Linked DNA regions of Neodiprion lecontei. The protein of the gene in region 2 purifies or fractionates together with the protein of the main gene of each other region. This does not show direct contact. Links are inferred from orthologs where the notes say so. Each region holds a gene or a part of one and is shown on either strand. Other genes may lie near its edges.

Region 1 (8,539 bases), about 37 Mb from region 2:
CGTTGAACAGAATCTCTAGCAAAAAATTGTGGAAAAATATATTGTAGAACAATTTTTCTGTAAAATTATACTCTGTAAAAGAATTTACTGTAGAAACAAGTTAGTAGAACATATTCTGAAGAGCACTTGCTCTGTAGAACTGATTTCCGTAATATCGAACCGCGTTCGTTTGAGTATGTCATATTTACAACTACACACAACTGTGACGTAAACTTGAAACTCTATATTAAACAGTATACGAGAGTCACCTAACACAAATAGAGCTATCCTATTTTCTGTGCTATCGCTTGTCGTGGGACTGACGGCAAAACCAAACCAATATTATAAGTGAATGCGCAGATATGTTATTGGTCTGGCTTTTCTTTTCATGCAATATTTTTTGTCATTCAAACTATCTTCGTACATACAGGTACATCAATCGTGGCATATATCGTAAAGAACTTGTTCATGGTATATCCACTGTTAGTACGAATTGTTCGTTCACCCAATTTCACAAGGAATAAGTTTATCACATTGAAAACAAGAATGGCAATTGTGCCTCTTGTCGTGGAGTTTAGATATTTAGCTAAGCTCAAAACCTGCACCTGCTTGTATAGCGTATAGAAGCTTTTCCCTTAGTGTTCTTTCGTCAGGAAATTCCGGAAGTTTTAAAAGGTTCATGCAGGTGCTCGAAGTCGGAAGCCGATCGACGCTACCTGCGTGTTGAATGCAGAAAGGTGGATCAAGTTCCTGAAAACAACGAAATGACCATCATTATGCGGTTGGAACAGATTTGAGGAGCTCTATGTAGAAACACCAGGGTTTGTACGAGGGACAAGGTAAACCGCAAAAAATCTTATCCGGGTGTAGTTAACCCGAGTTCAAACCTCAGGTAGCCGGTTCAGCGCCTGAACGGTGGGACCCGTGGTAAAATTACTGCGAGTCGCCGCTCAGGTCTTCCTCGACAGGCTAATGATTTGAACTCAGACCCTCCCATTTCACAGTCATGCACGCTACGCCACTACAGTCACTTTATTTAGTATCAGTATCGTTTAGTTTCTTTCTCGTTTCATCATACCTTGAATCCAAGCAGCGGTGGTCGACTGCAACTTGTCACAAATTTGAGCAGTTGACTTCTCTGTTGGTCCGTGAATTCGTCAGCAATTTTCCAAAAGGAAATTATTGTAGGGTGATCGGGGGTATAGCCTCCGGTATAGTTTGTATGTAGTTTCAAGTCGCGTACATCGACAGGTATTTGTGCACCGGAGATTAAGACCTGTAGTTCTTTATTATTGAACATTTGAAGCCAGTCGAGGGATACGACATTACTTATGCCCTGCTTGAATGCATAGCACTGGGCTCTTATCTGTTTGTTTAATTTGTAGTCAGCCATTAAATGGATGTATTCTATCCGATTGTGCGAAGTTACTGTGACGTTCGCTCCTCCAGGCTTGAGCTCGTCAATGCGCCTCTCCCCAAGTTCGTCAGATAAAACTGTAAAGTCTAACCCCAGTTCGGTAACATCGCCTTGGTAACTTTTCAGATACAAGAGATTCCTGTACATTATTGGATCGAGGGAAGCCAAGTGATGAACGTCAACATCGGCTTGCCTGCCGACAATTTTTGATAAAAAAAATTCGGCAAACGGCAATTCAACTAACAAATTCTCGTACAGTGCCTTTCCCAATATACGACCAATGAAGTAGTAGTGTTTTGGAAAATCATCAACAAGAAGGTGCACCGTTGGATTCGGATACAACATGTTGTCTTTGGTCAGCCTGAAAAATCCGCGATTTGGATCAAAGCTGGTTTTTAACAATTCTGAAAGAAACTCTCGGAATAGTCCACCCCCATCTACACCAGCCTCTTCAAGACCAGCTGCGTTCACCAATTGAACCTTCATTTTCAGCCTCAACTCAGACTCGTTCTCTGGTGAAAGTTTGTCAAACGCATCCTCGTACAAGTAATTCCGTCTCACAGCAATCTGTATGTATGGACCCCGCATGAAATTCGTCCATTCGCCTTGCTGTTCCTCTTTGTCGTGATTCAAGAGAGATTGAAATACCACTACACGATCATTGAATGGCACAACAAAGGGTATTTCACGAAGCAGCGTAAGCGTTCGCACTTCCTTTGTCGACCAAGGAGGGCCTTCCTCCAAATCTTCACGAGTAAATGCTCGCAGTCCTTGAAATGGTACATAGCCTCTTAATCTGCGACGTCGGAATGTAAAATCCTGTGGTTTGTCCAGTGGTATCACAATGTTCGACGCTATCCAATGGCCTTCAGGGCAAAATTGTTTTCTCAGATCACGAGTGTGAAGTTGCCGCAGCAAACCTACAGTTACTTTGAACAAGTGCACCCACATTTGTGTGTTTTGGTGAGTTTGGGTAGCAGAGGCACCAAGTACTGCAGTTTTATAATCATCTCGTACTGTCGGCCGGGTATCGGGGAACGCGAGCTCGACCAAGCCCAAGCAAACCCCCTTCAAATGAGCAGAAAGTGGCACTAGTTCCACAGTCGTGAATGGCATTGTCTGTTGGCTAGCACCACTTGTTCCAACTTGGGAGCCATCATTGAAGAATTCAGTGTCGTGCAGCGTTGCAATAAGCAGGCTGAAGAGCGAGCAAAAAACTGCCAAAAGTGGTACAATCTTTTTTGTATTATCTGCATCTAGGGCGATACCTCGAGAAACTACTTGCAGTAGAAGAGTGACACCCCCAAACAGGGATGTCTGACGAACAGACATTAGTGCCGTCCATAAATGACGAAGAAACGACGGTTTGAACGCAAGCATGTAGAGTAGTTTATATTTAGGAACAGCCATTTTGTTGGTTATCAAAAGATTGTGGCACAATTGACATAGGGCTTGGAGCATAAGGGGATCCTCGCTTTGATCCACCACCACAAGAATACCTTGTACACGATTTTCTGCATTCAACATTTCTATGCATTTTTGACGTATGTCCGCTTCATCCTGATCGACCATATCAGTGTCTGTGTCACTGTCCGATTCGTCGGTGAAATTTAAACTCTGCTCTACAGGTGGGGAGGCTATTGTCGAACTCAGCGATGCCAAAACTTGAAGGTAGTTCGTCAGAGTGTTCCTTGACCTTCTGCAGGCTGTGGGTGCAAAGATGAAGACAGAGACATTAGCAATGCAATATACACCAAGGTATGGACAACATTTCAAACATATAAAATATCAAATGTACATTTGCATTAGTGTTCATAATTGTCACTGTCAATCTGAATATTATAATTATTGTAATTCTCCAAACTGTTTATCACTTACCAAATCTGACTGGTTCCAGAGATAATATGCTATACAAAAGGCACAGAGTAGGCTCATTTGCAAGTCTATTTATACAATCGATTAATTGTTTATACGGGAGATTTTGAAATTCTGTCAATGCAGGTAAGACAAGCATCTTAATTGGCTCTGACATTCTTGGCGCAAGAATGCTGTAGCAGAACTCTTCAAGTATCGTAATGGAAAATTTGTTATTCTCTTCCATGGTATGAATAAGTCCAAGCGGTCGTTTAATCATATCCAATAGACATGCCGCCATCGGTGTCGGTGGTACAGGCGTTGCTTCCAACAAAGGAGGCACTTTTTCATCTATCAACCTTCTCAATTGCACAAAGTACTTGTTTTCTGCCAAATATACAAATATGCCGATCAAATGGCGATCTGTTTCTGTCTTTAAAATGCCCTCTGTATTTTCTTTCACAGTGAACACTTCCAGGACTCGCAGAGGAACTGCTATAGAACGAGCAGGATCTTGAGAAACCGTGTCAACTATTTTCCGCATTGATAATTTGAGAATCCACCTTAAAAATGGACAAAAAGCTGATGGTATTATTTCAAACTCTATAAAACAAAAGTGCTTAGCACTCAAAAAAAAGACCAATTTAACAGCAGACAGGGCAAACAAAGCAGAAACTTTAAATCACTTTATGGAAACGACATATCTCACATGCATTTTTCACGTATTGGTGCTAAAGAAGGTGACTACAAAAATTACAAAAATTAAAGTATTCTCTTCCCTCTGATTTTTTTCGATTCTTTATTCACCTCAATATGCTGACTAAAACATCACAAGGATGCAATATTGATTTTATAAAAACTCAGATCGCTAAAGTCGTTACACCCTCCTGGCAAATTGGTCTTCGTAGTTGCATTCAAATTGAGAAATTGCTTGTAGCCATAAAGGGACAATAGTATTTAGAAAAAAATTTCAACCCCAATGACCCTCAATCAGCTTCAAAACGAAAACGCTTGCCGGTTACGCCCTACTCAACTGGTTTTCTGCTTTTGAATTAATTAGAGAAATAGTACACTTTATTTCATAAACATACCGTAATCTCCATGACCACTCTGTAGATATGGTTGTCAGTTCTTTTATACGTTTGTGATCTTTCAAGACGTGTCTAAGTATCCATAGCAATCTGGATCCATCTAGAGCTTCGTCATAGAAAAATAACAATTGTCTGAGCAAAGGGGAAATCTCTTCCAAGCTTGGCGGATTATTACCCAATGCCTTCTGCGCTACATCAAAGTTGTGCCTTTCATGCTCACGCTTTAATTGTCTAGTTACAAATTGACGAATCTGAGCTTGGATTTTCACAGCGGCGTCATGCCTTTGACGCTGTTGTTCTCGTTTTAAACGTTCCAATTGAGCATGCTGCAGTAGCACAGCTTTTTCATCACGACGGCTAGCACCAGCTAGATTTTGTTGGGGTTTTCGTCTGTAGTCTCCGTCAAAGCTATACATGACGTTACTTCAATCAAAAAAAATTACACGTCCGTTCTTTTGTGAGTCACTTGAAATTCAACAATGAAGACTCCCCAATCGGCCTGAATTCACAGATAGAAACATATTGACAATAGTGAATAATGATAAATGAGATTTAGAAGCATTCGATGCATTGGTTCATTATGATTGGTTGGGCATGAATTTTTTTTCAGCAACCAGCAGAATCCTAACTGACTAAATTATATCCTTTGCAGTATTACAGTCGTGGTATTTTGAACTGTTCAAATTTAGTCCAGTTTCACCTTCGCGAAAATATCTATTGTGAAAAATTATCTGTTCACTAAGTATAAAATTACTCGATTACTTTTCTCTGCAAATTCGGCTCTTTATAGCAAGGTTATGCCCGTATTAATTGATTATTGCCACACTGCGTAACCACGCAACGTCAATAAATTATGCTTGTCTTTAACAATTACGAAATCGAAGGAGAATGTTTCACCACCATTACTCACTTTATCACTAAAAATCACTCGAAATAAATTATAATATTACAATAATGTTACGATTACACGTTAGTCATTGAATACACGCCATATTGAATTGATGAATAATATCACTAGCATGGAGTCTAGAGTAAAGGAGTCCGATCTTCGTACACTTGATCCGGGATGAAAAATCCGTACAATAAGGCTTGCGCTAGCTGACGCTGAAGGCGCTGATATCGCAAAGATCCGACGAGTGTTGGGCTTATAGCGTTTTCCACTGGTTGCACCAGAGATGAGTAGGGAGATCTCCAACGCTCGGCTTTTCGTGATACCAGCTAGGTTGGAGCGTCGACGTGACACCTAGGCGGCCACGCACCGAAGGTGGCCCATTTCCGACCTGACACCTAGGCGGCCATGCACCGAAGGTGGCCCACAATCGTGCATATATAGATATACTCGGTCGCTCGAGCAAGCGGTTGCCAATCGCATCCTTGTCCCCGCTCGCACAAATCTTTCCAGGAATGCAAGAATTGGGATTTTTTTGTTTCAATTTTGAATGTCAGCGAATAAAAGTATCTCCAGATTTGATAAATTTTGGATTCAATTAGCGGACGCTGAACCAAAATAATTAACCATTCCCAGCCCGAATACGTTTTTTTTTTTTTTTTTTTTAATAAATATTATTTTTTTATTGATATGAAAATATGTGACGCCTGGTGTTCTCGAATATTTGTACGCGCTGTCTATGGAAAAATATACGAAGCCAGCTCGATAACATTTATGCAAAATGTGCAATGGGCAAGTGGTTGGAGGAAATTTTTTTTTTCTCGAACTGAATCTTCCAGAGAACCATCAGCGAATTCCAAGCAAGCTCCATAAACATACCGAGCAAACGCGCGATCACGGACGTAGCTGTGGTGTGGCTGAGTGGATACCACATGAGGATGAATTTTCAATCACAGGTTTTTGCGCGAAGTTTTCCTGTATTTAAGTTAATTACTACTGCCTTTGCTATAATACTGCATTCAAGTCTTAAACAAAACACTAAAAAATAAGTTAACCACTTAATGTAAAACAAAATGTTAGATCGAGCTTAAAATTTAAGCCGGAGTTACATAAACTAAGATAATTACAAGTGCAATATTGTAAATATTGAGCATTTATTGTTCATCTAAATAAATATGGTTTCCTCCTCAAAAAAAAAAAAAAAACATGAGGATGGAGTGATGCGGGACACGGGTTCGATCGCAGTTCACTCTTTTTTTTTTTTTATTTTTAAATTCAATCCCGGCTTTTTTTTTTGTATTTTCGGAGAGAAAAAACAAATCAAAGAAAGAAAATTTCGAGAGCCGGTCGATTTTTTCCTTCTTTCCTTTTGCTTTTTTTTTTACTGAACCCACCTTTTTTGTAGTGGGGGTAACCCGGAAGAGAACAAATAATTGAAACAATAAAATTCCGAGAGCGAATCGATTTGTTCCGCGTTTTTGGCGCCTCTTTTTTGATATGGAAAAGTTTTGACAGTAATGGAAAATAGAGATTACTAAACGCAAATGTATTGTTTTTTAATAACACCGGCCCACAGAAAAAAAGTGGCCTGTACTTTTGACCGGACCTACCTATCTTTATGTATTTTGACGCGCTGAATCCGAATCTGAAGTCAGTTTTGCCCGTACACCCTCAAAATTTTGAGTAAATTGCAAAAAAAACCATAAAAATCGCCAAAAATTAGCATTTTTGGTAAGAAAAAAATTTATGGAACTATAGACCAAGTATGATTTTTATGCATTTTGGTCCGCTAAACCCAAATCTGAAGTTTATTCAACCATAAGCCTTTTAAAATTTAATTGGGCCGGTGTTATTAAAAAACAATACATTTGTTTTTAGTAATCTCTATTTTCCATTACTGTCAAAACTTTTCCTTATTAAAAAAAAAACGCCCATTTTATATCAGTCTTGACGAGCATTTCTTAAGAAGTTTGAGAGATGCGAGATCGGAACGACAAAATTATTTCAGTAGCAACAATGTATGGACCCCTCTCCTTTTCTGATATTCGCAGCCAGTTAAGAGGCTTCACAGTGTTCAGTTTAGTGCCAGCAGCTCTCGAGGTAGCAAGATGGTAAGTGAATTACATAATTATTTTACATGTATGGAAAAACCGGCAGGTTTGACGATCGTCTATTTACTTTATAGATTAAGAAGAGAAAAAAAGGGAAGGACCTGTAGTCGTATTTTATACTTTATTTAATTTTCCTTGAATTGTCAGACGTTTTTATTTTTGATTGTATAGGAAGAAGATGTGTGGGGAATTCCATTCTAGTGCCCAAGAATATAGTACACATTTTCGATCATTTTTTCTTTTTTTTTTTTGGGAAAACATTTTCCTCAATTTCCAAATTTCCTTAATTTTTTGGTATTCAAATCGATTCTTAACAATTTTGCGCACAGGTGGGATTTCTTTAATTATTTTTTTCCTAATCCTGAGGATATTTCCTATCTGAGACCACCGTCAATAGGCGAGATTCCGGAAATCATAAAATTACCTTTTTTTCTAATTAAAAAGAAAATCACATAAGGCCACTAAGAACTCGAAATGAAAATCTGACAAAATTAGAGATGTTTTTTTATATTCTAAGCCATTAACGTAAATAATCCGTTTAACGACCATCCTAATAGATATACATTGTATATGGGGCATTCCGCGTCAAATTTGCAACCCATGTACCTCACCCTCTTCGATTTTGATAATTCTTTAGTATGATGTTACAACCACGGTTTCAATCGACTTGAAACAGTGTCGGAATTTTTTGCAGATTTCTTTAGCCACCACTGAAAGAGAAAAAAAAATGAAAAACCAATTCCGGAAACGCTTCTTTTAAAATTCTGAAAAAATTCACACTGATTTTATAATTAAAAATATGATTTGTAAGCATGACAGGACAACGTGATCTCAACATCTACTACTTTTCTAGCAAGTTTTTGGTTTTCTTGGATCTTTGGATAACTTAAAAAAAAAGAATGAAATGGTATGAACTGTATTCAGGCCTTCTGGCATTCCTCTAAATTTCAGAAAAATTGATATCCATTAATAATAGAGAAATTTATGACCGAACAAATAAATAGAAACTCCAATTCCGGCATGAGAAAAAAATGCTTGCTAGAAAAGTAGTGAATGTTGAGATCACGTTGTCCTGTCATGCTTACAAATCATATTTTTAATTATAAAATCAGTGTGAATTTTTTCAGAATTTTAAAAGAAGCGTTTCCGGAATTGGTTTTTCATTTTTTTTTCTCTTTCAGTGGTGGCTAAAGAAATC
Region 2 (6,991 bases):
TAGAACAGCATGGATCACACTTATTTGAAACTACTACAGCCACCGTTAAGAGGCAGTACTCAGATTTTGTACAACTTCACGCTAGTCTAGCAGAAGTAATTATCAACTGACATACAACCATGCTTAATAATCGCTGAAACACAGACGTAAAAAGCATTCAAATATCTAACTTCAGGTTCCATCATTGGCGGTTGCAATATCAAACATAACTTTACCAGAAGGCGGACGTGTGGAGATGGAAAATTATTTAAAACTAGTTTGCTCTCGTTTAGCTGCCGATTATCCACCACAATTACGTCACTTTTTGAGGCCAAGCAGCAGCAGTAATAAAAAAGCGGACACAGTGGCACCACGCCTAGATAGATTTTTGGCTAAAACCGTAAGCGGAGTATTCAATACTTTGAAAACTGTTGTGCCTGGTTTTGAAATGGATACAGAAATAGAAGTGATGCCGATGCCGACATTAATGTCACTGGCTGATGTTCCGTGGCGGTTTGTTGAGGACTTAAAATCTGTGAGTTTCAAGTGTCTTCCAAAGTTCTATCCAATAATATATTTCCACTACTGCCAATAACTTTTATTATAAAATCAGCAGAATTTAGCTCGAGAATTGCAGCAATTGGTCGCGGAAAGAATGGACTACTGTTCTGTGGACACGGCTTACGAAGCAGTCGAATCGGTCGAAGGTAGCGGTGACTCAGAGCTGCTGGCTCATTGGTGGGAAATTTTTAACACACCATACGACGGTCAGTAATCCTACCTCCAACATTGTACGCGATGAACAGATCTAATTTCCATCAATTAGCAGTAACTACTTTGAGAAGTTCTAAATTGAATGCAGCTATAACTTCAATAATAATATTTTAATTTTTGCAGAAGAACTTGATGAGCTGGACAGTAAGATAACTTTAACGCAACTAGTTGTCGACTTGGCTTCTGAAGTTTTGGGTGGATCCGGATGTGACAACGTTATAGAACAAGAAGCTGTTGTTAGAACTGTCAAATTGTTCTTTGGAAATATTGCTGAGACCACGTTAAAAGTAATGTTATTGACAAATCAGATTGTTAATTAACATTTACGCTAAGTGGCATCAGATTTGACTGTAAAATCCGTCTACTTTTGTTCCAGAATTCGATTCTCAAATCTTTTAAACACTTGGATAATCTGGACATATTTGCCAGCTCTGGTAACGAAAATACTAAAGGATTAGATATACTGCAGGATGAATTACTACAACAATTAATGTCAGCAATCCCACCTCACATAAAGATATTCTTAGGGGACAATGAAACAAGCGAAGCATTTAAATTTCTCATGAGGTCTTTGGATAATAAGAAAATTAATCGAGATTTGTGTTTACAATTATTGGACGTTTTAGCTTCACAATTATTAGCTACGTCCAGATCAACCAATCAAGGTGTATCAGCGTACTGAAAGTGAACTAAAAAGTTGTCCTAAATTTATTTTCAAGACAAAGTAAACATTCTCTGCTGCAATTATTTTAAATCTAATACCCACACCTGCATGTATTGATATTTGCTTCTAAAATGGAAAAAAAAAACGGGTAAAATGTGACAAAAATAGATTCTATTTGTATTTACACTGGTGTACTAGCTAAGGATGTTTAGCCAAATCCCAGTGAAGTTTTGTTATTAATTGTACAGATTTTTCAATTGAATGAAAAGTATGTATAAAAAAAAATTGTCTATCAAACAATGATATTTATTAGATTTTATCTCAGTGACTGTGAAAATTTTTAAACAAATATTCGTACATGAAAGAAACTGAGTAGAACTTTTTGCATTCGTTACATGTGCTGTAATTGGAACTTATCTCTTAAGAAATTAAAATGATACGTATGAAATACATATAGCAGTTTATTACTTAACAATTAACATACATCCACACTTCGTTTTGAACTCAATTTTCCTTTCCCGAAGGGTCACCCTGTACTTTCTGCTTTTCCAATTGAGCTCTGCAATAACGATATGGTAAATTAATTATGGTCGTTTTCTTGGTTGAAGCGAGTTAAGAAACGGGTAGTTTGATACCACTAATAATGAAGGTAGCAAAGACAGTACATCAAACTTTTCAAATAACACAGATAGACTTGAGACATGAAAACTACGAAGAGTCCGAGGCAATTCTTTAACATTTTATGTTAGACAAATAAGAGTCAAAGTCTTACCTTAATTGTTGGCTAAAATCATCTTCGACGTCATCGTCATCCCAGTTATCCTCCCACACGCTAATATCGGCATTGTCTTCATCTTTGGCAGTCCAATCTTCCGTGATTCAGCAAATTTGAGGTTAGAGGGTGAAGAGAAGCAAAGAATATCGGGATAAGATAAAATAAAGGAAACTTACCTTCGGCAGGAAATTCTTCGAATTCATCGTCTTCCTCAAGAAGTCCCAAATCAACTTTCGATTTATCGTTCTTGTCGGTCATTATCACTTTATTTCACCCTGATTTCAATGTGACGCCGACGTCGTGAGCCTTGCACGTTGTTATTATTATTACCACGAAGTATATTACGTTTCGAGAAGGCGTACATAGGTATGTAGAATCATATTGTCTAGCTTGTTTGTAACGCCGCGAAGTATGTTTCAAGGTCAATCGCAAATAGCGCGTTCAGAATTGGAACATATAATTTGAAAGATAATTCTAGACTATAAACAAAATGTACCGGAGATTTTTTTCCATGATAATAATTTTCGCTATTGTAGTGACAGAAACTAGCACTAGCAGGCTGATTATAATTAAGCTTAAAATTGTAGTCAGTATACAACCTGGGGAAACATTACGAAAAATACAAATCGCATGCAAGACTTACCTTTTGTCGAATTCGTAGCTGCATTGAACTGTACCCATTGTGTGGATCCACGGTTGAACACATATCAGTATTTGTTTCACTATACACTCCTGTTATGCACATTGTAATAATTTCTTCGACACTAATAAGCTATTTTTTACAACCATACACCGGCAAACTCACATCGTAGACCGTTCCAATTAGATCAAACCGCACTGAGTCACTGATATTCAGAGTTTATTCGAAGACGATAAAAACCAGTACAACGATTTTTTCGAATCACGAAAATCACATGTTTTCTCGTCGAAAAACAAGACACGATCTACACATGGATTGATAAAGCAATAATTACGTCTATACGCAATGTAACACTTGATAAATAAAAGCGTGTGATCACAACTCCCGTATTTACAAATTGGTGTTATTCGTTTGGCGATAGGCTAAAAACTAATGCTCAAATTCGACGAAATTTGAGATTTCTCAAGCGACGCGGACGCGATTCGTACCAGTTCGTACAGCGATTTTCAATTGCTTGGGAGATTATTATGTATTCGCACGGTTCGAGAATCGAACTCCAGTCATACCAATCGTGCAAAATTTCGGCTAACATATCGGGCTGCCAATCGTTGGTCCACGGCGCACGGTCGTTCTCCTCTAAATGTCCGCTGTCGCGTAGCTTGTAATATCCGTGTTCCTCTCATTTGCCAGCTGGGAAATATAATTAAACGTAATTTTAAAAAAATTTCAATTACCTGACACGGCATTCTACCTCTAAAATGATTCCCAACTGCATTAGGAGCATTGGCAGTCAAACGTCGAAAAGAAATGTGAGTTATTCTGAAAAAAATTCGAACTGTTGCTGAACATGTGAATGACCTTAGAAAAAATCCCTTACTTTTTCCTATGATTTGAAAAGTATAGAATTTCAATTATTTTCACTCGCTGTTTTGCCTTTCCTGTAATTTTTCGATTAATGCCTTGAATAATCCTTCATTTTTACATCTCATTCATGGGCAAGTATGGAAGCTGGAGCAAGGTAAATATCCCAGTAACAAATTTAGTTTTCGTTGTCTATGCTTCAGCTAATATTCCAAAATGTTAATTGTAAGGTTTTTTGAGCGTGGTGTCACGTGATCGATTTAATCGTAAGAGTTTGTACGAAAATCAATCTTGTTCTTTCGTAAAACATTGATTCGATTTGGAATATTTTTATGATATGACCTTGTTCATGCTGGGAAATGCGCTCTGGTCAGTTAGCACAGATAAATTATCGTATTAATAATTAATCGAATAATCTGCGAATTATAACCTCAAAGCATGTTTTGCGGTGATATAAATAGATAAAACATCTGTACAAAAGTTATTCAGCGCCAGCTGACCCCAGAGTATTTACCGACAATAGCACCATAATATTACGTACGAGAAATTCCAAATCAATTCAAAAATTGGTCACGTGACACCACGCTCAAAAGACCTTAATTGCACTTTGCTCTTTGAATAATTCAATCACTCATCTCATTAAATTTAGCAAATTATAATACTTGTACACAGGAACTAAAGCTTAGCCATTTCAACAACTTTGATTACGCAGCAAAAAATATTTCCTCTGCACATGCAAAATTCTGTCTACAACGAAATTATTCAGTTTCAAATATAATGTGCTACGTAATAATCACAGTTATCGAAACATTGTCCCGGAGATCCATTTGACTACCTTCCTTTTCTTCAGCATAACACAAAAATTGATATTAAATGAAATACCTGACGGTATGTATAATAAACAGTTTGCTATAATTGAATTTTTTTTTTTTTTGTTGCAGGCTGTGTCTTTCTTATTAAACAAGAATAACTACGCGACGGAGGCATCTTTCGAAACAAAGCCATTCCGTTTACATAAATTAGATTCAGGCCCATCCACGCAGGTGTCAGTAACAAAAGAGGATGCTCTCAAGTACTACAAGCAATTGCACACCATCCGTCGTATTGAAACAGCGGCTGGCAACCTTTACAAAGAAAAAATTATAAGGGGTTTTTGTCATCTTTACTCCGGACAGGTATGACAAACTCCCAGCTAACTTTGTGTAAAATTTGTTAATAAATAATCGATCCAAACTTGCACAATTTTGTACAATTTAAAAATGTCCATATTTTCGATCTCCAAGTAATTTCATCCTTGAATTTAAAAATTTCACATGAAATGTGTATCACAAAAAGCTTTAACTTACTCTTGATTTTGGTGTTCCTAGGAAGCATGTGCAGTTGGGATGACTGCCGTCCTACGTCCTCAGGATTCCGTAATAACAGCGTATCGTGTTCACGGATGGACTTATCTTATGGGTGTTTCCCCGTTAGGTGTACTAGCTGAACTTACAGGGCGTCAAAGCGGGAATGCACGCGGTAAAGGTGGTTCCATGCACATGTATGCCAAGAATTTTTACGGAGGCAATGGTATTGTTGGTGCCCAGGTAAGCCAAAGATGACTGAGCTACGTTAATGAAATGAGTAGCTATATAACATTATGAATTTTTGGATAACTGAGAATTCTTAAAATTCTACTCACTAGGTGCCGCTGGGTGTAGGCGTAGCCTTTGCTGCCAAATATCAAAACACCGGTGGAGTATGTTTAGCTTTGTATGGTGATGGCGCTGCAAATCAAGGTCAGATATTCGAGGCTTACAATATTGCCAAGCTGTGGGATATTCCCTGCATCTTTGTTTGCGAAAATAATGGTTATGGTATGGGAACCAGCGCAGACCGAGCAGCTGCCAGTACGGACTATTACACAAGAGGAGACTATGTTCCCGGAATCTGGGTAAAGCAAAGATAATTCAATATCGTACAAGTCAAAAATTTATATATAATACTTGGTGAATTATTTTACACTCATTAATATTCACCAGACTTTTCGAATAGTTGATAATTCAATTTTGTCTTGACAATATAATTTCATACAAATATGTATTACCTGAACAGGTCGATGGAATGGACGTTTTAGCCGTGCGAGAGGCTACTCGTTATGCCATTGATCACTGCACCAGTGGAAAAGGACCAATTGTCCTCGAAACAGCTACTTATCGTTACAGCGGTCACAGTATGTCAGATCCAGGCACAAGCTATCGTACTAGGGAAGAAATTCAAGAGGTTCGTCAGACTCGTGACCCTATTACCAGCTTTAAAGAAAGGATTCTCAACTCGAACTTAGTTGCAGCTGATGAACTCAAGGTAAACATTCAAACACATGATCTATCATTGACTAATAGCTAAAGCAAAGCGATATTATTTAAATACAAATTAATCTGAACCTCTCACTGTGTTTAAAGAAACTTGAAGCTGAGGTCAGAAAAGAAGTTGATGATGCGGTGAAGATTGCTAAGACAGACAAAGAAATCCCTATGAGTGAATTGACCACAGATATCTACTCTGCACCTCTTGAAAAAGAAGTGCGCAATGTAACCCCTTTCAATCCACTACCTCATGGTAGGCTGGGTCCCGCCATTAATCTTTAGAGGAAATTATGATTCAATCAGACGCTGGTCGTGAGATTGACATGTGGCTGTAATAATTTAGTAGTAAGTGAAATAGAAAATCGACAACTACTACATGCCAGATTAAAAGAATTACATTTGTTTTAAACGGAATACTGAAATTGTGAATAAATAAATTTTCGAAATAACTGTTGCCAGTTTGTAACCTTGACGTATGCATATAAAAACAAAAGGAGAACTATTTACGCCACAAGAATTGTATCGTTATCGTACTATTTCATATTCCTTTGTGAATAGTTAAAAAATTTATCTTCAGTAGTTTACGAGATTTTGAGCATACAAAAAGTGGCCTCTTTAGAGATTCTAAATTAACATGCATAAGTAAGAAATATATAGCTAATTTATAAAATAATATGTAGGTGTTATACGTAATTTATATTATTTAAAACTATAAAGTATGTGTTAAATAATTGCAATATGATTTATAGTAATGAATTGATTACCTCCTGCCTTCCACCATCATAGAATTCAATAATGAAAAAAAATTATATTCCAAATAAACAATCCTCATTCCTCTCTCATACACGAATGCAACTATTTTACGTAATAAAACAATATTAACTAGAAATCCATATTCGTTCTGATACCTCAGAAAATACTGAACTAACTGCCTAAGTGACATATGACATACT

Evidence for each region.
Region 1: the proteins of 26S proteasome complex subunit SEM1 (region 2) and ubiquitin-protein ligase E3C purify together in Homo sapiens (affinity purification with western blotting; 3 studies listed by BioGRID and IntAct, with this or other methods). This does not show direct contact. The link is inferred for Neodiprion lecontei from reciprocal best matches to the Homo sapiens genes SEM1 and UBE3C.

The regions. Positions count from the first base shown.
Region 1 is NC_060260.1:41,303,671-41,312,209, reverse strand, and holds the start of ubiquitin-protein ligase E3C, read right to left. Parts: upstream 5,328-8,539; 5' UTR 5,252-5,327; intron 4,841-5,251; 5' UTR 4,758-4,840; coding exon 4,342-4,757; intron 3,814-4,341; coding exon 3,275-3,813; intron 3,103-3,274; coding exon 1,058-3,102; intron 730-1,057; coding exon 562-729; 3' UTR 1-561. UniProt on the Homo sapiens protein: E3 ubiquitin-protein ligase that specifically catalyzes 'Lys-29'- and 'Lys-48'-linked polyubiquitin chains.
Region 2 is NC_060260.1:4,675,431-4,682,421, forward strand, and holds 26S proteasome complex subunit SEM1, read right to left. Parts: upstream 2,530-6,991; 5' UTR 2,451-2,529; coding exon 2,369-2,450; intron 2,287-2,368; coding exon 2,190-2,286; intron 1,977-2,189; coding exon 1,922-1,976; 3' UTR 1,861-1,921; downstream 1-1,860. Other genes in the region: uncharacterized protein LOC107226332, read left to right, coding at 1-95, 176-514, 593-746, 877-1,040, 1,130-1,435; probable pyruvate dehydrogenase E1 component subunit alpha, mitochondrial, read left to right, coding at 3,591-3,641, 3,833-3,850, 4,635-4,868, 5,061-5,279, 5,378-5,626, 5,788-6,036, 6,135-6,320. UniProt on the Homo sapiens protein: Component of the 26S proteasome, a multiprotein complex involved in the ATP-dependent degradation of ubiquitinated proteins.